Linked DNA regions of Arabidopsis thaliana. The protein of the gene in region 2 interacts with the protein of the main gene of each other region in a pairwise test. Each region holds a gene or a part of one and is shown on either strand. Other genes may lie near its edges. The genes, in order: ESC and AT5G58990.

Region 1 (16,629 bases), on a different chromosome or scaffold from region 2:
CATTGTGAAAACGGATATTTAGCAAAATCATGCAAAATCTACAGAGTCACGTCCTAAAAGTAAAAGATTTATCCTTGCATGCTGTTTGATTCGCTTTCCTTCTATGTCCAGTAACATAAAGATAAAAGATCTACATAGATCCTAAGTTCTAAACTTGTATAGGAACCTCCGGTTTAATTAAGAGTTTTTGTGTCGGATGATGACTCCCTCGAAGATACCATCTGATCGGAAGTTAGGAGAGAATAGCCGCGGATCAACTGGTCCCGGGAGGTTAAAGCACAGCTTGAATGGTCCAGGCGGACACAGCTTCCGGATATTCATCTCGAACACCCGAGAATGTCTCTTGATATTTTTTTCGCCTCTTGTAGTTGATCCCTCCAGTATAACCTTTCCATCTGATTCAATCTCACAGCTGAATTCACCTGCACACAAAAGGACCAAACCAATTCATGTGTTAGCACTTAGACCCGATGTGGCGTGTATGGAAGTAGTTAGATGTGCAACAAAGTGTAATAATACCGTAATCTTTGCGGACACCGGGCAAAGCAACCTGAAAAAAGTAAGCAACCTTGTTGACACCAATGTCAACAACACCAACAGATGATCCTAGAGTTTCTTTACTGGCTGTTCCAGTAGTTACAACCGACGGTTCTGCATCGCTTTCCTTCATCTCCGAAGAAAAAGGTATAGGCTTATCTGTTTTTTCTCTTTCCATAAGAGTTTCACCATTCTTGTTTGTTGCCTTTTTTGATGAGTTCTTGAACCGTCTTCTCTTGTATGTCTCACGAAATCTTTCAGGGGTTTTACTCGTTCCACTAACAGCATGACCAGTAACTGCTTCTTCTTCCTTGTTCTTTCGCTTGCATGTTTCTGGAAGCTTTACAAATGAATAGTAGTCTTGGTCAGAGACAATTCCACTGAATGCAGATTCTCCGTTTCTTGAACAGTCCTGCTTCATTCCCTGGCTTTCTGGTATGTCTCCCGAAAGTCTTTCTGGTTCACTGATTACGCAACTAGCAACCGCGTCTTCCCCTTCCTTTCTCTTGCACGTTTCTTGAAGCTCACCAGATGAATTGTAGTCCTCGTTAGTGACAACTCCATTAGCTGTCGCATCACCATTTCTTGAACAGTCCTGCTCAGTTTCCCGGCTTTCATCCAGATTAACCCGAGGAGATAAAGACGTGACTCTATCGATTTTCAGGTCGTCCAAACGCGACAAGCATCTGAACCTTTGGAGTTCTTCCTTGTTTATGAACCCTACTGCAGGATCATCAATAACAACAATTCCTTTCACAATCTCGTGGCTCGGGGAATACCTTTTCTGCGGGTGAAGATTCGTCGGGAAAAAATGCGTGAACTGAGGAAACTTTCCACTTGGTTCCAATGGTAGATATCCCTTGAGATACATATAAATCATGTCTGGATGAAGAAGGAGGCTGGACTTGGCGTTTCTGAGTACATTATAGTACAAGTTCTGTAGCTGGGAAACAGTTAGAGAGGAAGATCCAATGTGCATCAAAGTGTAAGGTGGCAAACCTCTAGCTAATCTTTGAGAAGATGAACATCTTGGGTTATCAGAATAGACATCAGGACCCAAGTAGTTGCTCATGATGAAATTAACCAAGAAATACTGATCACTCGATAATCCGTCGCTATACAGACTCATATCTTCGATATCAATGAACCTGCATTACATATGAAAGTGGCAACATTGTCACAAATGGAAGCAATAAGGACATTCCAAAAACATAGTTACAGGACATAATTAAGTGTCTCAAATTTGCCAATTTAGTCATAGCATTGAAAATCTCCATCATTTTAGTCCCTAGATCTCTTAAGTTTAACCCTTTTCTAACAATGACTTTAGTCTCCATAATGTTTTGCCTTATCATTACTAAGGAGAAAACATCTTCAAATTAAACCCTAAAAACTTCACTTATTAACAGCAAAATCTACATTTGAAAAGACTATGTTGATATTTTGAGAAAGATTAGTAACTCTGCTTCATATATACTCTTCACAATACAAAAAAAAAAAAAAAACCAATTTTTACCCAGAAAATATCGCAATCCAACAATTTTTCACTAGTTAGCTCAAAGTCAACAATTTTCCTTAAATCTAAAGGTTACTACGCTTGAATACGAACCAGTTTGTACTTTTTACAGCAAAAATCGATCCCACATTGTTCCCACCACAGAAGATAAATAGGGATTATGCAATTTCAACCTTACAAGTCCAGCGATTGTGAAAATTCAAGCAACATTCATGGAGAAAAAACGAGAAGAAATTCGAAGCTTAAGCATGACAGAAAATTCTCAGTGGCAGATTTTACCTTTTTTAATTTCGTCGTGATGTTTTTGGGTTGAGGAGGATGATGGAGGTGAAGAGAAGAGAGATTTCTCTGCGAGAAAGAAATGTTTGGTGTAAGGAGAAAAATGCAAAAGAGGATGGGGGTCCTTTGCTTGCTACACGTGGCTACCACGTGGGTCCCGCAAATAACCGCATTTGGAGGTATCACTTGTCACCTGGCTCACCACGTGCCGTCTTGTTGAAGCACTTTTGGGCCTTTTAAAAAGTATAAGGCCCAAATGTTTTGTATGTCTTATTCTCATTGATAAAGCTTATTCTTTTAAACGAGAGGAAGTTGTAGGAAAATGGGAACATTAATCTTGTTTGTGCTGACTAAACTATCTCTAAATCAGTTTTCTCGGACATCAAAACATCATTACTATGCCACTACCTCATTATGTAATCCTTTTAATTATGTGTTGATCAATTTTTACTTTGATGGATCAAAGAAGGAAACGTAATTACATCCACCCCCAAAAATTGGACTCTTTAAAAATGGTTTAAATGACGATGAATTTAACTAAAAACTCGAATCTATCATCTTGAAAGCAAGTGGTAAACGAAGTGATAAATGGAGTATAAACAGAGGAATCAGAGTAGAAGATAGGAGTCATAGACAGAAACAATTGAGAAGAACAATTTATCAGTCTAGAAACTGTACAGACATAGAAAAGAGAAGAATCCTGGAGCTAAAATTTATGCACAGACAAAGAAGCTGAAGTGAGCTCCATAGTCATTAATTTTTTACTTACAATGCAGAGGACTTGACTCAAGAGGACGTGAGAATCTACCTAGTAATATTACCAACACTCATATGCCTTAAGAGAGTGTGTAGTAAGAAGACTACTTTTACCACCCAAAAGAATCAGATGTTGATTCCACCATTCTATATGCATTTATGTATGTGTTTATATATATATGAACTTTCTTTGTACACCAAACTTATTCCTACCAGTTTACCGCGAAAACCCTTGTTTCCGGGGTGAAACTATTCATATAGTTTATGCCATCAAGCTTGTTGTGGGCTATATACATAGGATGAGAGGGTTAAAGATAACAGAAGCACAAACCCTGAAACTTCCATTCTCCTTTCCCCCTTTTTTGACTTCTTCAGTGAGCAAGACTACTTAATACCTGTAACGACGGTAATGAGGTGAGATCGAAAACATTTGCAAGTACTGAAACTTAAAAGGGCACCTAAGGAAACAAGCTTACCTCTAGAATGCGAAAATAAATAATGTGCTAAGCTTAAACAGGAAGCCTGCCAGAGTAGCATTTGTCCTGGACTTCTTCCCTTTTCTGCAATCTTTAAGGATTACTAACTGAAAACCGATAAATAACAATGAGGTCGTGTAAGTGTGTACGAACTTCAATCCAATTTGGACCATCAAAAAAGAATCCAAGAATTTGCTTACGTTGATCACCCTGTTGTCTGATCAGAACCGCTACTCTGTATATACTGAGGAGGAGTCTGGACGATGACACGTTGGTGCGTTGGAGCTGAAGGAGAAGGGTATGGAGATTGAATAGCAGACATAGGTGAAGTGGCACCAAGCTGTAGAACATGACTTCCTGGATGTGAATAACCTTGACCCGCTGTATAACCGTGAGCACCAGGAATAGTATGGCTCAGTTGCCCATATTGATAACCCGGTGAGTTAACTGCCCCAGGTACTCCATAAACCTGAAGGTACTGTTGACCCATGTAAGGACCATAGAAACCCTACAACACCATGAAGAGAAGACATGAGTTTATAACTAAAGCCACAACAGTTTAAAATGCATAAAGAAGGTAAGAAGGAACTGCAATAATTTCAAGCGCCTACCTGAGACTGTGAGTACATGTAGTCAGGTCCATATGGTGTAACCCTGAGAGAACCCCAAAAAGCACAGCTAATATTAGAGACAGGTGAGTAAAGTTTTGGCTAAACACTCTTTAAGAAAAGAAGAGTAACACTTATACAAAACAGCTAGAATATGTTATGCTACGAAAGAAAGATGCTAAGCTAGGGGGGAAAAACCTAAGTCCACTCCAAAATGTCCATTCCAAAAATCTAGGTAATTTTGCCCTATCAAAGTCCAAAAACATTCATGACCTTGCCTGTCCAAAACAAATTGAGCTCGGCCACATATCCTCTGCAATTATATTTTTGTATTCCTGCAAGTTACCAATCACAACATGTCACATGATAGTGCTACACTCAAGAACCCTAAGTGGCAGAAGATACAACCCCTAACGCAATAGAATCTCTAGATGATTGTCCATGATGTGATTGGTAAATGCCACTTGATCAAAGTGACTGAAGGACTAGCATGTAGAACATTAGAACTGATACACTCATCAAAGCTTGTCTGTTATAGCAGATTTACAATAGCAACGAAATGTTCTGAGCTTCAAATTGCATAACTCACCCATAAGGGTACACCACTCCTTGTTGGTAGTTATAAGTAGGGGGTTGGTGATACGGATGGCTTCCAAAATGCAAACCGCGAGGACTCTGCACACTTCCAACATATGGGGAAGGAGGTCTTACCCGTCCTAACCAAATAAAAGAAGCAATGCAGTGATTCAAGGTTAACACGGTCATAATCCTTGAAAAATTGAATACTTCACCAAAATTATAAAGGTCTCTGTATGTAATGCGAAGAAAAGAATAGATGAATACTGAAGTAAGACTGACCAGGAGCATGGGGTATCACTGCATATTGCATTGGAGGCCTAGATCTCCCAAGAGAAGCGAGATTACAATTCGCTCGTCTGCCATCTATAATAGGTGTTGGATCGACACAGGCTCTCCTAGCAGCCTCTGGATCTCGGAAAGTCACCTAAATCCTCCATACAAATCATAAACATAGCGGTAAGTCATTCTACAATCATGAACATAAACCAACAGATACATCAGAACAAACAAATGAAAGAGACTCCTCTAATTAGCAAAGATAGACAAAAGTTTCATCAAAACACGTATTTTCGAATTCAACTTCTTTGAGTTTATTCAAAGAACTAGAAATCATAAGTCAAGCAGATCATTCACCAATCTAAAGCAACATTTAGTACCCAATAATCTATAAGCATACCATGGAAGCAGAGAATGTTTATTACAAGCAGTATAATAAACCAACTTCAGATATTAGAAACCAAAGCATGAACAAAAAGTAGGATACTCACAAAGCCATAACCTTTGGATCGACCAGTGTTCTTATCAGTAATAACGACAGCCTCAAGGATATCACCATATTGATCGAAATGCCGACGAAGAGTCTCGCTTTGAGTCTCCCAGGCAAGGCCACCAACAAAGACTTTAGTAAAGGTTGTGTCACCAAAAGGAGAATTCAAGTAATGAAACCCAGAGCTCGGAATCGAATGATACGCCATGGATTAGAACCAAAGACGGAAACTTTGATGAAGTATGGATAGAGACAGATCCTAAGACTTGACCCGGTAAACCCTAGAGATAGATTGAATGATTAAACCTGAAGATGAAGAAACAGAACATATAAATTTGAAAAGAGGAGATTCTAGGGTTTACAAGGGCCTTCGAAGAGAAGAGGGTGAGAAACAGAAAAAGTGAGATCGGCCCCAAAGAAACCTAATAAAGGATCATACTTGACAAGTAATGATCATGACGAGAGAAACAAAAAATAGAGAGAGAGAGAGAAAATTTCCCGGGAAAAAAACAGAAAAATGAAAAGAAGTTAGGGGAAAAGGGGTTTAAAACTTTGAAAGATGTGCCACGGAAGAAGAGAAGACTCGGTTCCGGTAGGTACACAAGAATGATTCTAGGGTTGCTCAATTGGTAGAACAACAGAAAACGAGAGAGACGAATTCGAATCAAGCGTTGGGGAAAATGGGGAGGAGAGAAAGAGGGATGATTTTGAGTGGTTTTAGGGATTTAGATAGAAAAATACAAGGGGACAAGGAAGGATTTGTTTATGGAAGTTTTAACATTCATGATGATGGTGAAGAAGTTGGTGATGACGAAGACGATGATGCGTGATTATGATTCATAAATTCTTCGAGAGAGAGAGAAAACAAAAGGAGTTGTTCTTCACCCTGGGTCCCACTCGAAATCATCTAGTAATTATGATTAACGCTGTAATTAATTAGAACACAAATTGTGGTTTTGTCCGAATCCTAGTTTGGTTCTTTTATTATCACAGTTGGTTGGAGTTATTTTAGCGGATTACTGCCGGGAAATTAACGGTTATTTCATACATTATATGAACAAAAAAAAATTCATTTATTTATTAAAAATATGTGTAACCTCTTTGCTTTTAATTAATTACTCCCTATTCCCAAAAGATAATACGGTGTACTTTAGAGTTATTCATCTTGTGGAATGTTGTTTGTTGGATTGAAATTCAAACGGATAAGCGTTACTTAACTATATACGATCAAACCATACAAGTTCAGAATAGGACTTCCCGCGTCTGAAAAACATGAAATCAATCTAACACATGTAGACTTATATACTCTTCTTTGAGTGCGGTGTGGTAAGGTAAGGTATATGAATGAGGCAGTGGACATGTAAGAACTAAAAACCATACAAAATTAGATGAACAAACATCAAAATGCGAACAGAGTAACAAAACAAAGAGGTGAGGAAACTGTATTAACCATGCTTCTTCTTAACGATCACGATCTACATCTTTGATCAGAAGATAAGATGGGAGGAACCGGGGAAGAATCAACGCGACAACGAGACACAAAACTACTAAAACCACCACTGACCAGCTTGAGTGAGGGATGCCTAAGAGCTGTTCTTCACAAACTGTCAACATGAGAGTTTTCAGACTCTAGAAGAAGCACTACACTTAATACAAGTTCTTATGTTGTGAAAAGAAGAAGATTGATGAGATAGTAAGTAGAAAAAAAAGCTTGCCTATGTTGTAAATGATGGACGGTCTTTCTTTAACATTTGGTATAGCCACGATTCCTTCAGGTTCCACCGTCACCAAAACATACAATCCCTCCTAAATCAGAAACAAACTCCTAAACTTGTATTCGTTCTTCTTTCTAAGTTTTAGGAACTAACTGAAGAAGATGGCAATACCTTGTTATCAACTTCTTCAATACTTTCTGTTTTGAAGATCAACTTCTCAGTGTTTAGTAATCTCCTCATATGGTTAACCTTCAAACCCATTACACCGTTCTTCAGTAATTGCAGCGAAAATAGAGCCGGTATCTGTTATCATAACAAAAAAGGATGAGATTTTTAACAAGCACAAGAACCTTGGAAACATAAGAACATAGAACAAGATAACAAATTTGACATACAGAAGCTGGGTATGATATCTTGACTTCATACCAAGAGTTCGACTTAAGCCCTTGTAATTTGTAAACTCGAGATCCAGATTTCAATGGCAGTGTCTCTTTCCAAAGTTCCTTCCCAGCATATAAAGTTTTTCCACCAAACCTAAGAGAAACCTGATAACATCATTTCTACAGTACCAATAAAAGAATCCAAATTGATGAGTTTGGGGATAATGTGAGGTTTTTCAACAACACTTACAGTCTCTCATCGCTATAACAAGTCACAAAATTTATGAAGACGATAAGACAGATGAGCAAGTAGCATTCTTTATAGCGTAAATCGATCATCCTACGAGTTCTGTATCAATCCCTAAAGAAGAAAACGATTTTTGTCAATTTGATGAATCGGTTAAAGTATCAGCTTCATGTTAAGCAATCTCTGCAATATTTTCTCTCAGCAACGGAATACGAAAATACCAGAAGTTATAAAACGCGCGAAATCGAATTGACTTACCAGAGATCAGTCTCTCGCCGGAGATGACAGTTTCTATGCGACAATTGGATCGGCGAATACGATTCCGGCGACTTCGGAGAAAGACTCAAAATCGTTGTCGACGATCGCTAGCGTGAGACTTGGGCCTTTGATTAATAATGTACTGATATATTGATTGGGCTAATTTGAGGCCCAATTTAATATACTTGGCTTGTAGACAAAGTGAAAATATAAGCGGATCATGACCCGTCCACGTCACTCTTGCGAAAATCAGGACATAAACTGTACACGTGGTCAGATCTCCACGTCGAGATATCTACGTGGCGAGTTCTAAGGATATTTTGTCCTGTCTTTTTGTGGGGTCCATTTATGGGCCCAAAGGCCTTCGACACTAACTCAGAAAGTCCAAAATAGTAAGGTAAACATGTGGGCTCCTTTATAAACCAAATTGGCAATTTGCCCATGTTGCTTCCTTCCTACTAAATAGTTAAATTCTATTCAATATATCACCTTTATTTTTGGTTTTTAGATTATTATACGTCAATAAAATCACCTTTTAATGTTTACTATATACAAATTATAATATTTAATCCAACAATATTTTCTAACACCTTTTAGTTTGATAGGTTTTCTCCACAAATTGACTAGAAAAAAACAATAAATAGGCATTTAGTTTTGAAAAGACACTTGGTTTTGTTTTATTCTCCGGCTTTTTATTATTATAAAATAATTTAAAAATTGGTGGATGGGGTGGTGGTAGATCACAAGTCGCCAAAGATGTGAGAATGGGATTGGGCATTATCGAAAAAGTTGACCCGTAATTTCTGATTGATCACACTACTTTTGAGTTTGTTTATAAAAAAAAATATAGTGGAGAGTCTGGAGACCACTGATAATAAATTGATTTTTACTAGTTCCTGTAAAAACTTGTGACTTGTGAGCATCATTACGTAGGTAAAAAATATTATTATACACATATTATTTTTATAGTAACATAGGTATATTTGGGAAACCAAGGTCTCCAGGTTGATAGGAGCAATAAAATACTGGTTTCAATTCATACTATTAGAGTTGTCTATGTAGAATCAAATGTCAAGTCAAAGTCGTAAGAGTTATTTATAAATATATATACTATACCTTCATATATAGCTTAATAATATATAGAGAAATAGAAGAGATGGCCACAAAACGCTATGATTAAGGATATGACCATGTAATTATTGATCTGTAGAACAAATTTACAGTCCATTATATTGTTAGATAAATAGATTGATGAATACTTAGTTAGGTTCACGTATTTTATTTAGGTTTGAATCCAAATGATAACATAGTGATAATGTTATCACAAACCATTAATCATATCATGGTACTTAGATTCTCATATTTATTTTTCGAGTAATGTAGATTTATTATCATACGACATACAATACGCAATACTGTAGGTCAATGGAATCAAATCGTTTTTTTTAAGATATAAAAATAATTTATTTATTTTTTACCAAAACAAATGAGGCACAATTTTAAGATTTAATATAGAAAAAATAGAAAAGAATATCAGGGGCGTTTTCATCTATCCACTTTATCAGAAGATCATTGCCAAATATTTTAACTAAAGCAATTTAATTTACTCTAATAATGTGCAACTCATCGTTACGTATTTCTTCTTGTACAAAGCTAACATGCGGGGCATGTTAGATTCCGTGCGACAAACTAAAAAGTATGATTTGATTGATAATTTGATATAAAGAGCTCGATTAGACTTGTTGATTGTTTTCTTATCTAAGGATTTTATGCATCCATATATTCATTATCAACTATGAACTATCAATGAATAATATTTCCAAAGTATGATATTTAGTAAATTAAATTCTGAATTCCTGATAGAAGGGGGAAAGTCTTCACCCGATTGATGTTCGAGTTTTTGGAGAAAATATAATCAAACTTAGCTGAGTTAGAAACTCGTTATAATACATGTTCTTTACTTGGTTTAAAAAAAGCCACGAATTGATAAATCAATACTTTTTAACTAACGTACATAAAATTAATGAGAACTGAGAGTTCAAGACTAGCTAGATTTTTTTTTTCATTTTATATACAGCGAACTCATTGCTTACACTTTCAAAACTATAAAAACAAAATTTAAAGGTGCTGTAGAGAATAGAATCGCTATGTAAGTATAAACTTTAAGGATGGCATTAATATCTTATATACATCTGGCTCGTGGTATTTTGATTGATGAGAAAAGAAAGCAAAAAAAACAAAAGAACATAAATATAGAAGTTAAATTAGCATACTGATTGATGGGTACGGTATCCCTAAATCATCACAATTTTTTGCCCATATTATTTATTGTTAAAGAGGGTATGATATTTAGTCTCACGACCTTTACTTTTTGTTTGATGTTTTTTTTTCTAGATATAAAGAGCCAGCATTTTATTCACCAGTTGTTGGATTTCCCTAAAAGAGATACCCTTTCGTGATCGCATGAGAGCAGACTGGGGAGATACATATATGGAGTAGGGGCGTAGGCTGAAGAAGCAATAGCTAGCCACAATAAAAAGAAGAACAATAACAGCTACAAGATCATCAAGGGATCAATTATGAACCGAAACCAAATTGATATTCTTTAGTGCCTCCGAACCTCACATATCTACTGCATCCTTACGAGATATTTTGGTCGTTGGGAAAAAAAAAAAATATATATATGTTTTGATCAGTTTACGTGTTTGTCGGAACAATTTAGAACTGCTTTTATTCCATGTTTGGTAAATATATAAACTCTTATGGATACCAAGAACTTAACTTAGTTTTCTCTAATGAGTTCTCTAACATTGAATTCCACGCGACAGTAACTGGACGTCTGAATTCATTAATACATATATAATCTTTAATTAATGTGAGAGAAATGTGTTCATGATCTAGACGAGTAGCGACAGCGTCATAAGAACTTAGGTACAGTCACATATTTATAGACTTGGATGACGTGTAGTTCTCTCTCTTTATGGCTTAAAATTAAATTATATATCACATGAAACACCTCTCACTTTTCTGTTTTGGGGGCAAATAAAACATATCTCACTTATTTTCGAAGTATCTTGATAGTTCCACACATTCCGTTTTCGATCGATAGAAAAAAATTGGACCAGTTTATGATTAAAATACCGCACACAAAAGACTTCACGTACGTTTTTGCTTTTAAGCATTAGAAATACGGGCAAAAGACGCGAAAGTAAGTTAGATAGATTCGGGAGGAGTACTGTGATTGGATAAGGTATTGACCAAGTACCGATGATCCGACCGCCTCCACGTGGTCACACAGCTTGGCTTTCACTTTCATGCTCTGACCTTTTGACCGCACGTGACTTTTGTCTGTGCACGTGCGGACCAAGCTAACGTGTCCGGTTCAAGTACATTGCACCGAGCCCTGACTCGCCAGGTTACGCCGATGAAAACGACGGTTCCTGGGTCCCACATGCCATGAGGATGGACGGTTCCGATCCACTTCCTACTTTCCTACTGAGATTGGTCCCACCATGGTTCAGGCCACATGCGTCCACGTTGAGGGAGCTTAGGTGTTACTATATGGGTGCAGTTAAAAATTAAGACAACCAGTCACGGTCCGATATGAGGTCATGCATTAATGGGTCGGATCGAGTTTAGTCAGTTCAATAAATTAAGATGAATAAGTCAATAATTATTTGAATGGGTTGATGCAATTGGTAAGTGTTTTCAGGATTATCGTTTGTTTCCCAAACAATTTTTGTAAATTAAAAGTTTGATATCATTTGTATGAAGATGATATATCAAAAAAAAATTTTACTAATACATTACTCATTCTAAATCAATAAATTATCAGTGTCTAGTTGTCTTTTTCTGGTATATTTTTTTGTCCATGTTAGAAAAAGCGTAGTTCTAATTAGTGATTCACCAAATTCGACATAAGGCAACAAAGTGGAGTACTTATCAATAATTTTTGAAAATATAAAGTAGTAGTATCAACTAATTTGACATTTTGATAATTATCAGCTAGTCTTATCACATTAATGGATCATTAACTTTCTCCAAACTTATCATCAAAAAGGGTCCACTCCGTTTTACGATATTTAAAGGAGTATACATGGGTAGATCTCACTATCTCAGTATAGAACAAAGGACCATTACCTAGATTGATTGTTCTACGTTATGCGCCTTATGCCCTCTTGACAATAAAAGTGAATATAAAGTACTTTAGTAGAACATTGATTCTTTGATATATAATTAGCTCGGGTTTAGCAAGATAATTTAGTAGCAACCAAAAAAAAAAAAAAACACATCACAAGCAGAATTAATCAATTGTTGTTCTGCAGCGCTTAAAAGTGACTAATTCTCTTCTTCTTTTTCTATAGTAAAGATGGTTCGTATCCGTTTGTTTATTATAGAACGTGGGTTCTTCTTAGAATATTGTATTCGCAAGCCATATACTATATATCTATTTTAAATTATTATACATTATATTTTTACAAAATTAGTTGACAAAACTAATAATAATACTATACATGTAAATTTTTTTTCTTTTCTTCTTCTATATAACTCACGTTCTGCATCCAGTTTGAATATGAATAATAACATATATCAGCAGCACTATGCAAATCACAAGCCTACAAATATCTAGTAATAATGCAAGTTTATACTAAGTTTTACAATAAAAAGATGCGTAAGTAAATTAAAATTCTAAATAAAATGACCTATAGTAGTATTTTCTCAAGTAAGAGAAGACTAAATAGTACTATTTCTCATTTTTACTTATACGAAAACCTTTTAATTAAGTTACTAAAACCATAAATAAGTTAGTAACATGATAATAACATTTATCAAATAACTTTTGTTTAAACATAACCTCCACGCGCCTTAAAGGGAATGTAGGATTCGTTTTAATCCTTGTGTACCCAACTTCCACTTGACATTTTTTTTTTTTTTTTTTTTTTGTTAAATGATACGTTTTCTTTAGCTCGTATATAATAGTATCTGATAAACAAATTGACCAAATGTTATCTCTTCTGTTAATCTTATCTCATGCTTTCAAATATAAGAATTCCTTCTCTAAATTTCTTTTGTATTATCCGATTGGAGCCAAACAAAAACTGCGACGAACCCCTAGTTTTCTTTGGTAGATCTTATGTAAGGATAACCACTTACACACATAAATTTTTTTGTCGGCATTTGTGTATATGTAATAAATAGTATTAATTTACTTAAAAAAGAACATATTATTCAAATAATAATTATTATATTAATGATATAATAAAGGGGACTGTTTCTCCGCTAAATTCTCGGTGTATGTCTTTGCTTTTACTTTCCTCGTTCAATGAGAGGACCAAAAATTTATTGCAGAGTCGCACATGAATCTCAAGCTTCTCTCTCCTTTTTTTCCCATAGCACATCAGAATCGCTAAATACGACTCCTATGCAAAGAAGAAGCTACTTCTTTCTCTTGCCCTAATTAATCTACCTAACTAGGGTTTCCTCTTACCTTTCATGAGAGAGATCATTTAACATAAGTCACCTTTTTTATATCTTTTGCTTCGTCTTTAATTTAGTTCTGTTCTTGGTCTGTTTCTATATTTTGTCGGCTTGCGTAACCGATCACACCTTAATGCTTTAGCTATTGTTTCCTCAAAATCATGAGTTTTGACTTCTCGATCTGAGTTTTCTTTTTCTCTCTTTACGCTCTTCTTCACCTAGCTACCAATATATGAACGAGCAGGATCAAGAATCGAGAAATTGATTTGAGCTGGCGAATAAGCAGTGGTGGGATAGGGAATTAGTAGATGCGGCGGCGATGGAAGGCGGTTACGAGCAAGGCGGTGGAGCTTCTAGATACTTCCATAACCTCTTTAGACCGGAGATTCACCACCAACAGCTTCAACCGCAGGGCGGGATCAATCTTATCGACCAGCATCATCATCAGCACCAGCAACATCAACAACAACAACAACCGTCGGATGATTCAAGAGAATCTGACCATTCAAACAAAGATCATCATCAACAGGGTCGACCCGATTCAGACCCGAATACATCAAGCTCAGCACCGGGAAAACGTCCACGTGGACGTCCACCAGGATCTAAGAACAAAGCCAAGCCACCGATCATAGTAACTCGTGATAGCCCCAACGCGCTTAGATCTCACGTTCTTGAAGTATCTCCTGGAGCTGACATAGTTGAGAGTGTTTCCACGTACGCTAGGAGGAGAGGGAGAGGCGTCTCCGTTTTAGGAGGAAACGGCACCGTATCTAACGTCACTCTCCGTCAGCCAGTCACTCCTGGAAATGGCGGTGGTGTGTCCGGAGGAGGAGGAGTTGTGACTTTACATGGAAGGTTTGAGATTCTTTCGCTAACGGGGACTGTTTTGCCACCTCCTGCACCGCCTGGTGCCGGTGGTTTGTCTATATTTTTAGCCGGAGGGCAAGGTCAGGTGGTCGGAGGAAGCGTTGTGGCTCCCCTTATTGCATCAGCTCCGGTTATACTAATGGCGGCTTCGTTCTCAAATGCGGTTTTCGAGAGACTACCGATTGAGGAGGAGGAAGAAGAAGGTGGTGGTGGCGGAGGAGGAGGAGGAGGAGGGCCACCGCAGATGCAACAAGCTCCATCAGCATCTCCGCCGTCTGGAGTGACCGGTCAGGGACAGTTAGGAGGTAATGTGGGTGGTTATGGGTTTTCTGGTGATCCTCATTTGCTTGGATGGGGAGCTGGAACACCTTCAAGACCACCTTTTTAATTGAATTTTAATGTCCGGAAATTTATGTGTTTTTATCATCTTGTGGAGTCGTCTTTCCTTTGGGATATTTGGTGTTTAATGTTTAGTTGATATGCATATTTTGGTTTCTCGTGTTTATTTCTTTTCTTCTCATATCTTCGGTAGATGTTACATGTTAGAGAAATGCATGTGTCTCGTTATGTTAGAAAATTCCTTTCCATATATGGCTTTCTTTTATTCATAGCTAGGGTTTCGTGTTGTACCCTATAACTATTATTATAATTAGCTCGATTTGATAGATATATAGGTCTAGACTATTCAATAATGAGTTCGTTTGTTCTTTTAAGAATTTTGAGCTTCACGGCGTATTCTTGATGAAATATTATGTGGGCACATCTCAGGCGCTCATTTGAATATTTTTACAATACGTCAATACGTTACCTTAATCATAGTATAATATAGTTCTTTCAACTTTTTAACAACCTCAATGTAGTATTCATTATAAGGTTAGAAAATTATTATACATATTGATCAATATATACGTTTTGTGCATCTAAATTCATTATTCGTACCATTTGAGTACTTGTAGCGTCTTTTAGCCGAGTATACCTTTTAAGATCACAACTTCTGTGTCATATCTATCTATCTATACGGTGTTATTGTGTTAAGAGTACTGTCATATATACCCATCTATATATAAGGTGTTAAGAATATGCTTACATATTGATCAAAACGTGCATCGTTCTAAATTTTGTAGTTAACCACTTGCCTGATTAGAACGTCTTTTTAGCCGTTTGTACTTACAGTTGAAAATTCCATTGATTGGTGTAATTGGCTATTTAATTACGACAGGGCCGTCTAAGCGATCTCGAGTCTTACCATCTAGGAAAACAACATGGGCAATTTTTAAACTATTTAGCGTTCATACAGTTTCTAGTGTTTTAAAAATACTACATGTATACCTAGTGGCCATGTTATGACCTTTTTCATTCGATCACTACAGTTACTTAATTACATGCATAAAATATGCATTAATGCTTCAGTTAATTAACCGTCGATCCTGTAAAATAGTTGTATCCAACATTATTCAAAGACAGGTTGGCAACAAGTACGTAGCTTTAAGCTAATATTTATAGGTCACATATGCACAGTACCATTTATGTTATAATCGTAGTTTTTGGTTTGAGATTTCCAACCCCTTAATTTTGGCTGGTATGGAGAATTTGTCTCAACTCTCAACCAACACTTCAAATACATATTCTGCTCTTTCTCAATCTATATATATTTCTGTCCCAACAATTTAAATATATATATGGAATATGGTTTTATACCGGTTTATATATTACTATTTTCGTGTTTCTTCGTCACTACAAAATATGAGTTTTTATATATATATATATATATATTGATAAAAAGAACGAGTAAATGATATTGGGGATACTTGTCTAACTAGAGAGATAAAGAGTGAAATTCTATATTCTGCTAAAACTAATCATATTCGTTAAATAGAATGGAATCATTATCTAACATCCCACTGAAAAGTAAACAAATTCATTCATAGAAGAATATGCTTCTGCTATTATGCAAAATATATAACGAGGGGATTACTTTTATTTATTTCATATCTCATACTACATCTTTATTATTTTCCATTTATTCATCTAATCTTTAACCATTTTTAGAGCATAGTATTGTTTTTTGGGATTTTAGTCAATGTATATTGGTTAAAGACAACCGTTACAGAGCACAGTAGAAACATGAAGTAGAGATTATCTCACGTACGTCGGTTACATACAAATT
Region 2 (16,727 bases):
AACGCTCCATTGTCTAGAAGAATATGATTACTATCTTCCATTATTTACAGTTGTAGTGGTCCTGGCTTGGTCACTTAAGAGCATCTTAAATTAGGCTAAAATGTGTCCCCCAAAGGACAACAAACTTCTCCTTGGCACACGCGTGAAGTCATCTTCTATTACTACTTTCTTTACCATATTTATCACCAAGATCCTCTTTGTCTCCACCAACCAACATTAATAACTGTTCTTATAAATAAATAATTATTTAAACAAATCAAAAGTTGGTTCGATATATCATAGAGAAAGCTTCGTAAAGATTTTAACTTTATGAGCTTTGCGGTGTAATACGTATATGATACTCCGCAAAAGCTTTTGACTCGCATATAAAATGCTTCATGGACCTCTTTCGCTATATTGGGTCACCGGTCTGCGTCATTTTAGCTGGAAAGTTCTTCGCTTATGGGTTCAAAACTTCAAATGCTCATATAATATAAAGTACATAAAAAAGTGAAACTGTATAACAGTCTTTTATCAAATCAAAGTTATCGCTTTGTTGAATAATATCTGTAGTTTAGGCAAAATCTTTTGGCAATATGAGTTAAATATGTGAAGAAAAACTAGATTAGATATGCTTTAACAAAGAAAAACTAGATTAGATTAAATGGAGAGAACACTAAATGCAACTTCTCCTAAACTATTACTACCACTGCCACTTTGTTTTTAATATTCACACCCACACGCATGCACACATAGCTTTGACCCTTTGACCACTCAGTTTACGATTTTACCCCTAATGTAGTAATTTCGCATTATTATTTTATTTTTACCTTTCATATCTTAACCGGATGTTTCAGAGTTAGTCAAGGTTGTCTATTTGGTGTTATTTTAAAGTTACTCTAAAACACTATTTTTCTGTTATCTTTCAAAAAGACCAATTAAAAAATAAAAATTATAAACATTCCTACACCATTCTAAAACATTCTTAAAATTTTCATACAACTGATTTTGCAAGCTTTCCAAAATGTTTTCTTAACCGATTGCGGATATGATATCGTACATAATTGTATGGTTTATTGTTCTTCTAAATACTACAGAAGTTAGAAGTGTCCATCGTAAATAAGAAAAAAATATTGTTAAAATATACATATTAATTTTGTAATTATTATCTATATAGTTTTGGTCATTTGGAAAGTGAGATTTGAATGTACTACTAATTGAACAAAAATACTGTTTTAACGTTATCAGAATGTATAAACGTTAGATATTTAATGAAAAAAAAAAACAAAGTGAAAAAGCGAGAGAGAAAGAGAAACATTGGATCCACAACAAGTAAAAACACTTATTATTGTTGAAGAAAGAAGTTTAACGTTTTTCAATGATTCACCACTGTGACTGTGTCTGTGTCTTCCCCACTACGTGCGCTATATATAAATTTTTCTCCTTTCATTTTTTTCCGCAGATTCCTTTCTCCTCGAGAACAAAAAAAACTTCTTTTTTTTTCTCTTTCTCTCTTGGCTTCTCTTTAGAAAGTGACTCACCAGAAAAAAAAAAGGGTTTTTGCTTTTCGGGTTTAGCTAAGAAAAATCTTTCAATCTTCCTTAAATCTTTCAAAACCCCAAAATGGGACCTCGTTGCTCTAAGCTCTCTCTCTGTTGGTGGCCGACCCATCTCAAATCAACTCACAACGAAGCTTCTGATCTAGGTGATAACAACTTCTTCTTCACTTAAAGTCTCTACCTTTCACACTCTCTCTGCTAACAAAGTTTGAGTTTTTTGTTTTTTGTTCTGATAGATAACGGAACGGACGATTTGCCGTCGTTTACGGAGTTTAGTTTCGACCAACTACGAGCTGCTACTTGTGGATTCTCTACAGACAGTATTGTCTCCGAACATGGTGTTAAAGCTCCTAATGTTGTGTATAAAGGCAGACTTGAAGATGACCGATGGATCGCTGTTAAACGATTCAATAGATCCGCTTGGCCTGATACTCGTCAATTTCTTGTACGAACTCTCATAAATTTGATTCCTTTACTCATTTCCGTTGATGGGTTCTCGTACAGTTCAATTTAAAACCCCTGTTGCATTTGGTGGTGTTTACTGTTTGGTTTGATTGATCTTTAGGAAGAAGCAAAAGCTGTGGGGCAGTTGAGGAATGAGAGGTTGGCGAATTTGATTGGATTCTGTTGTGAAGGAGACGAGAGATTGCTCGTTGCTGAGTTTATGCCTTTTGAAACTCTCTCGAAGCATCTCTTTCACTGTAAGGCTTCTCATCATCTTTAAGAGATTGGCAACTGTTTACTTTTTTGGTTTGATTCTCTACGCCTTTTAGTTTTTAGTTCTAACACATTGTTTAGGAGATTTTGTTGGTAATTTCTGTTTTTGGTTCTATCTTGTTGAACAAAAGATTAACACTTTAAATGCAAATGATTGGTGGAACTTAATAATTTGTGATGATATGTAGGGGATAGTCAGCCAATGAAGTGGTCTATGAGGTTGAGAGTGGCTTTGTATCTTGCACAAGCACTTGAGTATTGTAGCAGCAAAGGTCGCGCCTTGTACCACGATCTTAATGCTTACAGGATCTTGTTTGACCAGGTCCATCTCGAGCTTACTATTAACTCTCTTATCTCTTTCTTGCTCTTGATTGGATTTATGTTTCACTTTTCGTATAAGTTACTGTTCTGGGATTCTTATAATGTTTTTCTGGAAAACTTGATTACAGGATGGTAACCCGAGATTATCTTGCTTTGGTCTTATGAAGAATAGTAGGGATGGGAAGAGTTACAGTACAAATTTGGCTTTCACACCTCCTGAATACCTAAGAACAGGTCAGTTACTGATTTGAGATGCAATGGCGTCAAGTTATGTGTTTGCTGTTTGACAAAGTTATGATATTGATCTGATATATGGATGTGCGTTTATTAATCTCTTAAGGGAGAGTGATTCCGGAGAGTGTGGTCTACAGCTTCGGAACGCTGTTGCTAGATCTTCTCAGCGGCAAACACATACCACCAAGCCATGTAAGTGCACCAAACATGGCTCAACTTCTCTTGGGAGGAAGTTCTTGATCTTTTAGCTTCTTCTCCTTATCCCAGAAAATGTTGATAAAGTTCTGTATGCTCTACCATTGTTCTGCAGGCGCTTGATCTGATTCGTGGGAAGAATTTCCTGATGCTGATGGACTCGTGTCTAGATGGCCATTTCTCAAACGATGATGGAACCGATTTGGTTCGTTTAGCTTCCCGTTGTTTGCAGTATGAAGCTCGTGAAAGGCCAAATGTGAAATCTCTCGTGTCCTCACTCGCTCCTCTTCAGAAAGAAACTGATGTATGCACTCACTAAATCACCTTCCTTTCATGTATCAACCATTCAAGTATTCTAGCTCCTCGTCTTATTCTACATCTCTGTTGTTTTCTTCAGATTCCGTCTCATGTTTTAATGGGGATTCCACATGGAGCTGCTTCTCCAAAGGAAACAACTTCGCTTACCCCTCTTGGTGACGCTTGTTCACGACATGATCTCACAGCAATACATGAAATTCTCGAAAAGGTTGGATACAAAGATGACGAGGGTGTAGCAAATGAGGTATGTACATGAACAAGAAGCTTCTTCATCTTCTATGAGGTCAATGACCTTCAAGTCTAGAGCTTCTTTAGTCTTACCTGAGGTTCCTGTTTTATTTGCAACACAGCTCTCGTTCCAAGTGTGGACCGACCAGATTCAGGAGACTCTAAACTCCAAGAAACAAGGAGATGCTGCGTTCAAAGGCAAAGACTTTGTCACTGCTGTTGAATGTTACACGCAGGTAAGAAACAGAAAGTGGGTTACTTTCTTGAAACCCAGAAACATAATTCCCCTGGAACTCGACTCAATCCGTCTTATTGTATCTGCAGTTCATCGAAGATGGCACAATGGTATCGCCAACAGTTTTTGCAAGGAGGTGTTTGTGTTATCTGATGAGCAATATGCCTCAAGAGGCTCTTGGTGATGCAATGCAGGCGCAAGTAGTGTCTCCTGAATGGCCAACGGCTTTCTATCTTCAGGCCGCTGCTCTCTTCAGCCTTGGAATGGATAAAGACGCCTGTGAAACCCTAAAAGATGGAACTTCCTTGGAAGCCAAGAAACATAACAACAGAAACTGAAAACTTCAAGTGTATAGGTTTCTTCTCTCTTCCGCCTTCTTCGTTTTGTGATTGGATTCTGAGAAAGCCTCATTGTCTCTGTCTTCTTTAAGCATTATCTTAAATTTGTGGTTTCCAATTTGAAGAGATGATTCAAATCACATTTGAATCAAGAAAAGAAGGATCTTTCTCATTTAAGTCCAAGATCCTTATATGAGATTTGTTCAAACTAATTTTCTTCATTTGAAGTACAAAAACAGATTCTACACAACTATTGTCCAGTATTTTATCTATTACCAGTTTTCAAAGCCATGTGTCTGAAACCAAAAGAGCTAAGACCCTCCTGACCACACAGAGATTTCACGAAGCCGGAGCAGAGAACAATATTATACAAAATGTAAATCTCACAAGTTACAACAATCTAAACACTACCAAGTTTTTACAGCTACAAAACGTGTGAATAATCAAGCAACAGGAGGGATTGATTCAGCGATTGCAAGCGGCTCAAGAACAGGAGAAGAGTGAGCTCGTGCGGGTGGGCGAAAGAGAGAGAGAGAGAGAGAGAGAGATGGAAAACGTTTCACTTGAGGACTTTGAAGTGAAAAAGCCAAGAAACAACGAAGGCGAAGACCATAGCAGCAAGTAAGAAGTTCATAACAGGGCGACCATGCCAGATTCCTCGTGGCTCTGTCTGAGTTAGAGATTGTCCCGCAGCTGCTTGTGAATGTGTAGAAGCAGTGCTCTCCGGATTAGATTGTTCACCAGCCACGTTTAGAGCCATTGCGCCGCATATCTCACATGTCCTGCTCAGATTCATACAACAATATGATAAATGCTAGTCAGTAAAAATCTTAGGGGACTTGCTTCATCTTGTAAACATATAAGAAGCTAGGAAAATGCAAAGACACAGAAACAGAAGCTAAACAGAGCTATGAGTACAATCTTGATTGGTAAAAATCAAACTTTCTCAGCAAAAGGGACTGCAAGATTCTCTCAATGCAGCTGCAAAATCAAGCCTTTGAAACTGAATGTTTTGAGGCAAATCACAGAAACTGGCTTTAATTGAGACTACAAACAATAAATATCCAAAAATGTGCAGGAACATAAGAACATGAGACACAAGTAGACAACAATTGATGGCCACAAAACAAAAACTGTAGATTCCAGCTTCAGCAGACAATCTTTCTAAGAAGTAATGATATGGATCTCTAGAATTCAGACAAGAAAAAAGACTCAAAGTACATAAAAAGGAAATACATTTTTTCCTTATAAAGTTTCATTCTTTACTACTTTGGTTCTCACAGAATCTGTAGAATTTTGCAGAAAAAAAACAAAAGTAGTCTTGAAGAGAAACTTACATGTTTCCTTTGATCTTAAACCAAGTCTCAGCACACTTACTATGAGCAACACCCAAATCACCTTTACAAGAGCAACCTAATTGCAAAGGCAAACCATAATATTCTTCTTCTTCTTCTTCTTCTTCTTCTTCTTCATCTTCTTCATCTTCATCATCATCAGAATCATCTTCTTCTTCTTCATCTTCATCTTCAGCTTCTTTGTTAGTCTCTAAAGGAAGATGACAGATCCTGCAATCTCTTCCACCTTTCTTCTTCTTCTTCTTCTTCCTCCTCTTTCTCCTCCTAGTTCTCCTCTTCTTACCACCGGAATGTAGCTGTTTCTCCGGCGCCGGTACACCGCCGGACTCTAAATCGACCTGAGACAAAGAATCCCAGTCGGAGGAGTCACCGTCGATGCTAATTTCGACGGAGTACGGCGGCGAGTCTGTAGGATTCGCCAAATGGTGATGAGATCCAAAAGCAAAAGAAGGCATTTTTTTCTTTCTTTCTTGAAGATTAAAGCAAAGAGGAACCAAAGGGGTCACTCATGGGTTTTACGAGGAAAACAAAAAACAAAATCATAAAAAAAAATAACCAAAAAAGAATTAAAATAAAAAAAAAACAAAAAAGCTAATTTTGTCTTCAAGGGTTTATTGAATTTTTTATTTTAGTAAGTTTTTAACTTGCAGAGAAGAAATGTTGGAGAAAGAGAAAGGAAGAAGCTTTGGACAAAAGAGCAGCTTCTGTTCTGTTCTTTTTTATTTATTATTATCTTCTTCTTCTTTTTTTCTTCTTTTTTTTAAGACAAATGTTTTTACTTGTTTTTTTTTTTTTTTTGTCTCCCTCAAGTTTGGAAGATATTTCAAAACAAGGTGGGTGCTTTTTAACATTGTTAGATCCCGTGGTACGGATTCTTAACTCATGATTCTACTACATTGAATTTCCACTTAATTTTTCATATATATATATATATATCGATTGTACTTTTTTTTTGTATTTCATACTGTATTAATTAAAAATATTTCTTATTGAAGTCCCTTAAGCTAATCTATTTACTATCACAATTTAATTACAGTTCCTAACATTTTAATTATTAATTAAGAACAAAAATTGAAGAAAAAGAAGTTATAGATTTAGTGAAAATGAACTAATGAAGTGTACCCACGTTGCTTAAGTTATAACATTAATAGGACGAAAAAGCGTTTATTTTAGTACTTTTCTTGATTTCTTTAATAAGTTAGATTTTATTTTTCCTAACAACTAAATTTTTTAGTACTTTACTCATACCGTGAAAAAACAAAGTACTTTGTTTCTACAAATTAGATTTGCTTCTATAAAGTTTCATTCTACACTTAGTACATTACCTGGAGTGTTTAGATATTAATTATTTATACAAGATAATATATCCTAATGAAGTCAGCTTAAACTGATTTTGAAAAGTGGGTTGGTGTGAACTCTGAACAGTGATTCAGTGAACATATATATCAATAGTGTTGGGTTTTGTTGAAAAGTATATAAACATGAGGTGTCAAAATGAAAATGTATAGAAGTTTAAGGGTATTGATGAAACTAAACATAAAAATCACTGTCAATGTCAGTGGCTGTGTCAGGATGTAACAATGTTGGCTGGAAGGAAACTCACCGTTTCTTTAATAATTATTGTTCCAAAGAAAACAAATAAAAGAACCCCAAATTTGAAATGCTATTTTCATTTTTAAACAGTACTTAAGAACAGTAGTAGTTTTTTTCTTAATTGTTTTCTATTAAATTTGAAGTTACATATGGTTTTCTTTTGTATCTACATATATAAGCTGAGTAACTTAACAGTATCAATGTACCTATTTTTTCGATTATAAATACTGTAGTCTGTTTGTTTGACAAAATAAAATAAAATACTGTAGTCTGTTTATGACAAAAAAAAAACTGTAGTCTGTTTATTTCACCAACAAGCTCTTTGAAATTCTCCTTTCATATTTGAGTTTACTAGATTATACTACTTACTGTATTTGTATAAAAGTAGTAATAATATAAAAATGTATATACACCTTCTAAAATAGGGTCCAATATAGTTACCATATAGTTACAGCTACATTAACAATACATTTATTTTATTTTCGGTCCTATGTATAAACATTAACATGATTGTTGACAAAACATATAAAAAGTTTTTGCTAATTTCATAATTTTCTTAAATCATTTTTTGTTTGGTTATCAAGGAACAGTGTAGCTTTTGTTTTTCTTTTTTTGGGTCAAAAGTGTGTAGCTTATAATGTCATTTTGGTCTATAAAACAGCAACCTTCTTTAACTGAGACCTGTTGTTTTTTGAATGTATTCGATGTATCATATTTCCACACTTTCAAGACAATTCATATATTATTCGATCAAATTGTTTCTCGCTACCAAAAAATTGATAGCCGTATATTGATTGACAAATTGACAGAAGGGAAACAGAAAATTCCTTGGATAAGCATAAACAGGGCCAAAATATAAAGTTAAAGAGGGATGGGCTTCATGGATTTGAAAGAATAGGGCCCTTCTAAACCAAAGAATAATGGAGATTGATTGGTCAAATTCAAGAGAGTCTGTTTTCTTTCTTTTTTTTACAAATCAAAACAGTCTACTGAACTGAGTCCTGAAAGAAAGAAAAAGATTCTAAAATTGGTTCTCTGTTAACCTCAAAGTTATTGAATAAAACCCATCTCATGTACTTGGTAATTTGAAGATCTTTGCTTACATGAAGATATCCATTAAAGCACGGACTTGTATATATATATCATATTAGATTGGTTCATATGCGGATTCCTGTTACTTGACTAAGATTGGTTCAACCAAAAACTGCTTTCATTAAAGGTGAATCTAAACGATGGTTTTGGAGTCTGTGGAAAAAGGGATACAAACAAGATTTTTACGCTACGGTTGGAAGAAATGTAAAACTGGTCCAACAAGACTATCTTCCATTGCATAACATTGATGATTCGATAAACAGGCACTATACAATATCAGGAGAAGTATTCAAGTTGATTTTTACTGCAAAAGATGTATTATTTGAACAAAGAAATAAAGATGCTGTGCTGAAGAGGAGACTTTTCAATATTGAAAATTTGGGATTTTGATAGAAACTAAAACCTGCCAATCGTAGTTGAGGTCATTTATTACATGTTTAAAACCAGCAGATCTCCTACAAAACAAGTTCAAACTTTATAGTAGCTAAACACTAGGCTTAGGGATGCTGGCTCATCAAAATCATAACTCAAGAAGTGTAAAGTCTTAACAAGAAAAACGAATACTCGGTCATCATCCGTAGATTATGGATCATTTCCTACAAAGCTATCGACGAATTCAAAGAAACTATCAAGTCACAACAACTGTATCTTCTTCCCAATAAAAAGAAACCGCAAACAGATAGATCAAGAAGTACCCACAACAATGGAAGTAAACAGATCAGGCAGCTTGAACATCAGCAGTGGTTGTTGCAGGAGTAGTCTTTGACAGGTTTGGGATATACTTCCAACAACGTTTGTGAACTCCGCTTATCTTCTTTGGAGCTTCCGCAGCTCGCAATCCTGCATTTGAGACCATGTATGTACGTTACTCTCATGAAAGCTGCATAAACCTTAACACCAATGCAATGGTGATTATCTAGTTTCAGATATGGCTACTCCTAATAATTTCACCCTATACTCCATAGACATGACAAAAAGCTCCAACTTTGACATCAATGGGCGTAAAAACTTAGCAATACGAAGCAAATGATGACAAAAAAAGTCACCATCTTTGTGAACAATTCCCCAAGCTTTTCCATGTCTACCATCCTGCATTTGAATCCAAAATCAAACAAATACCCAAGTCAGATAATCAAACCCCAAATGATTAGGTAATAAAAACATTATCTCAGCTTACGAAAAATGGAAACTTTTCAATCCAGACATGAAAGAGAAGAAGACGAAGAACCTTATAGAGATTGATCTTAGTGATTTCATAAGAGATTCCATTCCAGTGAGCTTTAGCCATATGGTATCCGATTCCCCAATTAGGTAAGAACTGAGCGACTTCGATTAAGTTTTTCTTCTTTCTTCGTTTAGGTTTATTCGAATCGGAGCTAGGGTTTTCACTCGCCGGAGTAGATGCCGCCGACGGCGCCGCAGAGAAATTTCTTAAGAGACTAAGCGAGAGACTGAAAGCACCAACAGTTTCGGTTCTAGAGATTGCTCTGTTCATAAGTGTCATCGCCATTGTATCGCTCTCTCTCTATTGTTTCAGCCACTGTTGAAGATCGGCGACTGAGGTTGAGACAGAGAAGAACCACAAGTTTTGGTTTATTCACAAACAGACCCAATACAATTTTATAAATTACATTCTACCCCCGTTATGTATGCATTTTAACTAACTTTACCCCAAAAATCCAAACTTTGAAAATTAGAAATCGAATAAGAAGTGAAAACCGAATTGAGAAGGACAGATACGCTAAAACAGCTGAAATTGGGTAGCTTTCTTTCTCCGCAACCTTAAAAATAAGAACTTTCCTCACACTTTACTCTTACTTACATACTATTATCGTTGTTACCAGAAAAAAAAACGAAACTTTATTGAGTATTTGTCTATTTGAGTTTCTCTCATCTTCTTTTGTTTTGCTTCACATCGTTCACATCAATTAGTTTCTATCAGCTCCAGCAAATGGTTAGTGTGTTCATCAGCTAAAATCATTAAGGATTGCGTTACTTCTTCTTCAGGTTGGATAATATTTTGGGTTTAATAATTTTAGATTCATGAAATATGTGTGTTTGTTTATGTTGCTTACGTTTGTATTATTCTCTAGGAAGGACTAGAAATGAGAAAGAGTTGATTACTCCATATTGAGTGTGAAGATGACGAGGTGGTCTATGTCTATGCACTGCACATTGTTCTTGCTATTTCTGTTGAGGCTCACTTGTATATTCTCAGATTCCGATTATTTGATGGGTCTTGGAAGCTATGACATCACAGGACCTGCAGCTGATGTTAACATGATGGGTTATGCTAACATGGAACAAGTAGCATCTGGTGTTCACTTCAGGCTCAGAGCTCGTGCGTTCATCGTGGCTGAGCCATACAAGAAAAGGATTGCTTTTGTTAATCTTGATGCTGGTATGGCCTCACAGCTTGTGACCATCAAAGTGATTGAAAGATTGAAACAGAGGTACGGTGAGCTTTATACGGAGGAAAATGTTGCAATTAGTGGAACTCATACTCATGCTGGTCCAGGGGGTTATCTCCAATACATTTTGTACTTAGTTACATCTCTCGGGTTTGTTCATCAATCTTTCAATGCTCTTGTGGACGGTATAGAGCAAAGTATTATACAAGCTCATGAAAATCTTCGTCCCGGGTCCATTTTAATCAACAAAGGTGAGTGATTTAGCTTGTGGGACACTTTTTTTATGATTCATTTTATATGTTGCTTTCTCTAAAGACATTTCTTTTGGAGCTGAGCTTGCAGGGGAGCTCTTGGATGCTGGTGTGAACCGTAGTCCCAGTGCTTACCTTAACAATCCGGCACATGAACGTAGTAAATATGAATATGATGTAGATAAAGAGATGACACTTGTCAAATTCGTTGATGATCAATGGGGTCCAGTGGGTAGTTTCAATTGGTTTGCAACTCATGGCACTTCGATGAGCCGTACAAATGCCTTGAATCAGCGGGGACAATAAAGGCACTGCAGCACGTATCATGGAAGACTGGTTTGAACGAGAAAACGGTTGTAGATCAGTTGATGTTGAATCTCCTAGAAGAGTCTCAAGCATAATCAGTGATCCTTATGGTGAGCGTAAATAACCATAGCTCCAAGAGTTTTAGTAATGGCTTGTTATTGTAAAACTAACTTTTTGTTGCTTTTATTGCAGATCAAGATTTGATGGAAATGGCATCCTCGTTACTGTCTACCGGCGGTAAAACCGTTACAAGGATGTCAAGCGTTGCTAGACGGGTCAGAAGTAGATTTAGACACGCTGACAAACCTAGATTTGTCTCTGCCTTCTGTCAAACTAACTGCGGTGATGTTAGTCCGAATGTGTTGGGAGCCTTCTGTATAGACACAGGCCTTCCTTGTGAATTCAACCAAAGTACTTGTGGTGGAAAGAATGAGCAATGCTACGGCCGTGGACCAGGGTACGTCTTATTCCTAACTGCACACTTTTACTTTCAGCAATGCGGAAACCAATCACAGAAAATTATGTTCTCTCTTAGTACAATATGGTATTTAGAGAGTCAAGCTTGTTAGATGTATAACTTGGCATGACTAAATGTTTCAGCTACCCTGATGAATTTGAGAGTACCCGCATTATTGGAGAGAGGCAGTTCAAGAAGGCTGCGGATCTTTTCACTAAAGCCTCTGAGGAGATACAAGGAAAAGTTGACTATCGTCATGCATATGTTGATTTCTCTCAGCTTGAAGTGACGATTAATGGACAAAATGGAGGTTCCGAAGTGGTGAAAACATGTCCAGCTGCAATGGGTTTTGGTTTCGCTGCAGGAACAACTGATGGACCTGGAGCATTTGACTTTAAACAAGGAGATGATCAGGTAAAACCCAAATTCTCCTTCTAACTTGGTAATGAAAGATGTTTAGTACTATACTTTATGTTGTGACTTTGTGTAAGGGAAATCCTTTCTGGAGGCTTGTAAGGAACCTTCTCAAGAATCCAACTGAGGAACAAGTACGATGCCAACGACCTAAACCCATATTGCTTGATACCGGTGAAATGAAACAACCATACGACTGGGCGGTGAGAGCATAATCTTGTACTGTGATGGATAAAAATTGAATCCCACTTAGCTATTTGTGATGGAAAAACTGTTTCTTAATCCATTTTCAGCCGTCGATATTACCAGTTCAGATCCTCCGCATTGGCCAGCTAGTGATTCTCTGCGTCCCCGGAGGTATTCCGGTCTCCCCCAGAACAAAAAAAATCATTTCTAAACTGATGTAGAACATTAGTAATTTCCTTTCTCTATTGTTCTGCTTGCAAGAATTCACAACAATGGCAGGGAGGCGACTACGTGATGCCGTGAAAACAGTGCTTAAAGAAGGCAGCAATGGAAGAGAATTCAGCGTGGTAATAGCCGGGCTAACCAATTCGTATTCGCAGTATATTGCCACATTTGAGGAATACCAAGTTCAGAGATATGAGGTCAGAGGCTTAGATAAGAAGGAAGAGCTTGTAGGATCTTTCTTGATTTCCTGCTCTTAAACCAACTCTGTTTATTCTTTCCCTCAGGGTGCATCGACTTTGTATGGACCTCACACGCTAAGCGGATACATTCAAGAATTCAAGAAACTAGCAAATGATCTTCTATCTGCTCAAACCACTGACCCGGGTCCCCAACCACCTGACTTACTTCACAAGCAAATAAGCTTACTAACACCTGTTGTTGCGGATATGACACCAATTGGAACTGCATTCGGAGATGTTACATCGGATGTTCCTCGGTTATCCAAATTCAGGAAGGGAGCTGACATAGTGAGGGTTCAATTCCGGTCAGCTAACCCGAGAAACGATCTGATGACGGAAGGAACTTTCGCGCTTGTTGAGAGGTGGCTCGAAGGAAGAGAGACATGGGTACCTGTTTATGATGATGATGACTTTTGCCTCCGGTTTAAGTGGTCAAGACCGTTTAAACTCAGCACGCAGAGCACAGCAACTATCGAATGGAGAATCCCTGAAACCGCATCACCTGGTGTTTATAGAATCACTCACTTTGGTTCAGCTAAAACTCCTATAAGCTCCATTCACCATTTCTCTGGTTCATCTAGTGCCTTTGTTGTATATTGAAATGTACACGTGAATAGTCTTTATACGTATCCCTAGCAACACCATCCAGTAAATAACCTTGTGTGTGCGAAAAACAGTTTGTGTACATAACCTTCCAGTGGAGGAAGAGGGTCTATCTAATGACGTGTTTAGTTACAACAAAAACAGAGAGAAACTTTTATAGTGAAAATAGTAACACACAAAAGATTGAGAGAGACTCTGTACTTGTTCTGAATTCGTTACGCCATTATTAAATCTCGATCTCACTTTTCTTCATTACTACTCCTAAAAACTATAATCATTGAGAAACCCATTTTAAGATTACATCAATCATCATCGCTGTTAGAGAGAAACTGGAGCAACTTCTCAAATTTTAGCCTTTTTTTGTTTTTGCATTTTGCCTAATCGGTGCTTCTCCAGATTTCGCTTATCTTGTTCCTATAGCATAACAATGGCGGATTTCAAACCAAGGATCGAGATTTCGTTCCTTGAAACCTTCATTTGCAGCGCTTTCGCTGCTTGTTTTGCTGAGGTATCTCTCTTTAGTGCGAGATGAGATTATTATTCCTCTTTTGGGTTTTTGTTCATTTTTCATTTGAGTCTGTCAATATTCTTAAATTCGATCAATCACTGTCACTGGTGAACAATCCAGAGAAATGCTATCTTAGATTTACCGTTATTCTACTGAATCTTCGAAATTGAGCTTTAGAAGCTAATCTATGATGGTCTAGTCTACGACTTTAAAGTCCATTACTTGTGATTTTTTGTGATACTTATTGAAATGAGCTTACATAGACTCTATAGATTTAGTGTTTACGAAATTTGAGTTTTCGTGTGTTATGTGTTTGTTGTATTAGTCTTTAGTCAAATTCTAATTCATGGTTTATGAGTGATGTTGTAGTTATGTACTATACCGTTGGACACAGCCAAAGTTAGACTTCAGCTTCAAAGAAAGATTCCCACTGGAGATGGTGAGAATTTGCCCAAGTATAGAGGATCAATTGGTACTCTAGCTACCATAGCTAGAGAAGAAGGTATTTCAGGTCTTTGGAAAGGTGTTATTGCAGGACTTCATCGCCAATGTATCTATGGTGGCTTAAGGATTGGGTTATATGAGCCTGTGAGTCTCACATTATTTTCCTTCTCTGGTGCTTTTTTTTGTGTGTGTTTTATACTCTCTTATAAAGTTATATCTGATGGATTGTTTATTTTGCTATATCTGAATAGGTGAAGACACTTTTGGTTGGAAGTGACTTTATTGGCGATATTCCTTTATATCAAAAGATTCTTGCAGCTTTGTTAACTGGTGAGCTCAGTTCTTAATTTTGATAGTCTCTTGGAAGTAACTTGAGTGAATGATTGAGATTATAAAGGGAATTATTTTATTGTGTGTGACACAACAGGAGCTATAGCTATTATTGTAGCTAATCCAACTGATCTTGTTAAAGTTCGGCTTCAATCAGAAGGAAAGTTACCGGCTGGGGTTCCTAGGCGTTATGCAGGAGCTGTAGACGCTTATTTCACCATTGTGAAGCTGGTTAGTAAACTAATCTTCAAATAACAATATCAAAAATATTAAAATACTTTGTTAGCAGAGTGTTATAGCCTTTTGATTTATAAAATAGGAAGGAGTTAGTGCGCTATGGACTGGACTTGGTCCCAATATTGCCCGGAATGCTATTGTAAATGCTGCAGAGTTAGCTAGTTATGATCAAATAAAGGAGGTGATATTTCTTTCTCAAGTATTTTGTTGTGTAGGAGTTTTTTTGGCTTCTACTGGTGGTTGTTTAGTCTTTGTTTGTTCTTATACTTCCATACATATGCAGACAATTATGAAAATTCCGTTCTTCAGAGACAGTGTTTTAACTCATCTACTAGCTGGTTTAGCTGCAGGCTTCTTCGCTGTCTGCATCGGTTCTCCAATTGATGTGGTAAGCATTCATTTTCGTCTTTTACATAAATCAACAACAAGATTATTTGGTTTTCGTCTCATCATGTGTGGTAGTGCGTATATCTACAATAAATTTCAGTGAGAAGTGATAGATCTGAAAACGAAAGTGCTAAGTGCCTAAATCATTGTTCTTTTTGAGAACGAACAAAAGAGACTTAGTACTGACTGAGTTCTATTTATTGGTTTGTGGCAAAGAGTAGGTATTTATCACAGAATATCTCTTTAAAGGACAAGGTATTAGAATGGACATAGCTCTACTTTGAAAGTGACATCGGTGTAGCGTCTCACATGTTTGTGTCTTCCACATTTTATGTTTCTGACCTCTTGCTTGGTGATTTGACTTTGGTAAATGCAGCATTATTAGATAGTAATGCTCTACGGAAGGAGAAATTAGTATTAACCTGTTACCGAAGGAAACAAAATGGTTGATACTTTGGTATTTGCCCTAAACGGCCATGGTTCTTCTTTATATGTTGTTCCAGGTGAAATCTAGAATGATGGGAGACTCTACTTACCGAAACACAGTCGATTGCTTCATCAAAACGATGAAGACCGAGGTTAGTATTCTTTTCTAGTTCACATTTAACCAATCTCTCTCTTTTGATGCAATCATGAATGTTCTGTTTTTGGTCTATTTAAAGGGGATTATGGCATTCTACAAAGGATTTCTCCCGAATTTTACACGGCTAGGAACCTGGAATGCCATTATGTTCCTCACATTAGAACAAGTAAATTAGATTCTTCTCTCATTCTCATTTACTTTTCGATGATGATTAATTTTGGATTGCTCTTCTTTTTTTAACATTTTTCTCTCTGTTTCATCTTCACTCTGTGACAGGTGAAAAAAGTGTTTCTAAGAGAAGTCTTGTACGATTGATTCTCAGATCCCTAGTCGAAAACCATACCTTATTACATAATCCCTTCTATAAAACTTTGAATTGTTAGAATTAAAACATATATACTTTCTATGTTATGTGAGCTTTGTTATTTAGATTAGTATAGAAACATTTTATCCAAAAAAAAATTCTTTGCAAGAACAGTTTATACGAACGGTCTCTTTATTTCAAGATTTTTCCGAAGCTAGATTGTCTTAAAGTCTTAAACAACACACGAGGACATAATGTATTCCTAAGAAACAGTGAACTCAAAGAAACCTTTTTAAGCCCTTGGAACCAAGTAAACTCTGGATTTGATGATTGATCCTTTCCCTTGATGGCTAAGCTTGAATCCTGGACAAACAGGAAATCCAACAACTTGACCCGCAGGAACACGGCCATCCGAAAACCTCACGACACTCTCCATGTACTGAGAGTGAAACTCGGCTCCTCTGTTTGCTTCAAAGTGACTCGGGGATGGGTCGAGCGAGAATGCCAGGAGATGAAGCAGCCAGACTGCTTTAGCTAGCCCCAAGAACTCTCCATAGAACTGACTTCTTGGGTGGTTACCGGCTACAACCAACTCCCGCTGTTCCGAGTCCCCGAACAACGACTCTTCCATTTTTTGGTGAATGATCGAAAGGTACTTCTTCGAGCAGAATTTACCAA

The links.
Region 1: the proteins of AT5G58990 (region 2) and ESC interact in a two-hybrid assay, tested with the Arabidopsis thaliana proteins (one large-scale study listed by BioGRID).

The regions. Positions count from the first base shown.
Region 1 is NC_003070.9:7,259,110-7,275,738, forward strand, and holds ESC (Putative AT-hook DNA-binding family protein), read left to right. Parts: upstream 1-13,446; 5' UTR 13,447-13,914; coding exon 13,915-14,850; 3' UTR 14,851-14,963; downstream 14,964-16,629. Other genes in the region: AT1G20870 (HSP20-like chaperones superfamily protein), read right to left, coding at 178-422, 520-1,666; AT1G20875 (uncharacterized protein), read left to right, coding at 2,372-2,572; AT1G20880 (RNA-binding (RRM/RBD/RNP motifs) family protein), read right to left, coding at 3,770-4,072, 4,176-4,218, 4,762-4,888, 5,031-5,175, 5,519-5,725; AT1G20890 (caveolin-1 protein), read right to left, coding at 6,979-7,121, 7,233-7,323, 7,404-7,535, 7,628-7,766, 7,863-7,951.
Region 2 is NC_003076.8:23,807,975-23,824,701, reverse strand, and holds AT5G58990 (28S ribosomal S34 protein), read right to left. Parts: upstream 9,940-16,727; 5' UTR 9,675-9,939; coding exon 9,393-9,674; intron 9,254-9,392; coding exon 9,211-9,253; intron 9,005-9,210; coding exon 8,883-9,004; 3' UTR 8,512-8,882; downstream 1-8,511. Other genes in the region: BSK5 (kinase with tetratricopeptide repeat domain-containing protein), read left to right, coding at 1,603-1,684, 1,775-1,983, 2,104-2,239, 2,444-2,577, 2,705-2,810, 2,917-3,002, 3,121-3,309, 3,403-3,567 and 2 more; AT5G59000 (RING/FYVE/PHD zinc finger superfamily protein), read right to left, coding at 4,684-4,906, 5,462-5,934; AT5G58980 (Neutral/alkaline non-lysosomal ceramidase), read left to right, coding at 10,307-10,826, 10,918-11,058, 11,144-11,242, 11,325-11,589, 11,733-12,003, 12,081-12,206, 12,297-12,360, 12,451-12,611 and 1 more; UCP2 (uncoupling protein 2), read left to right, coding at 13,684-13,764, 14,134-14,352, 14,460-14,538, 14,636-14,769, 14,858-14,956, 15,059-15,163, 15,666-15,740, 15,825-15,911 and 1 more; GIL1 (glucose-6-phosphate isomerase, putative (DUF641)), read right to left, coding at 16,342-16,727.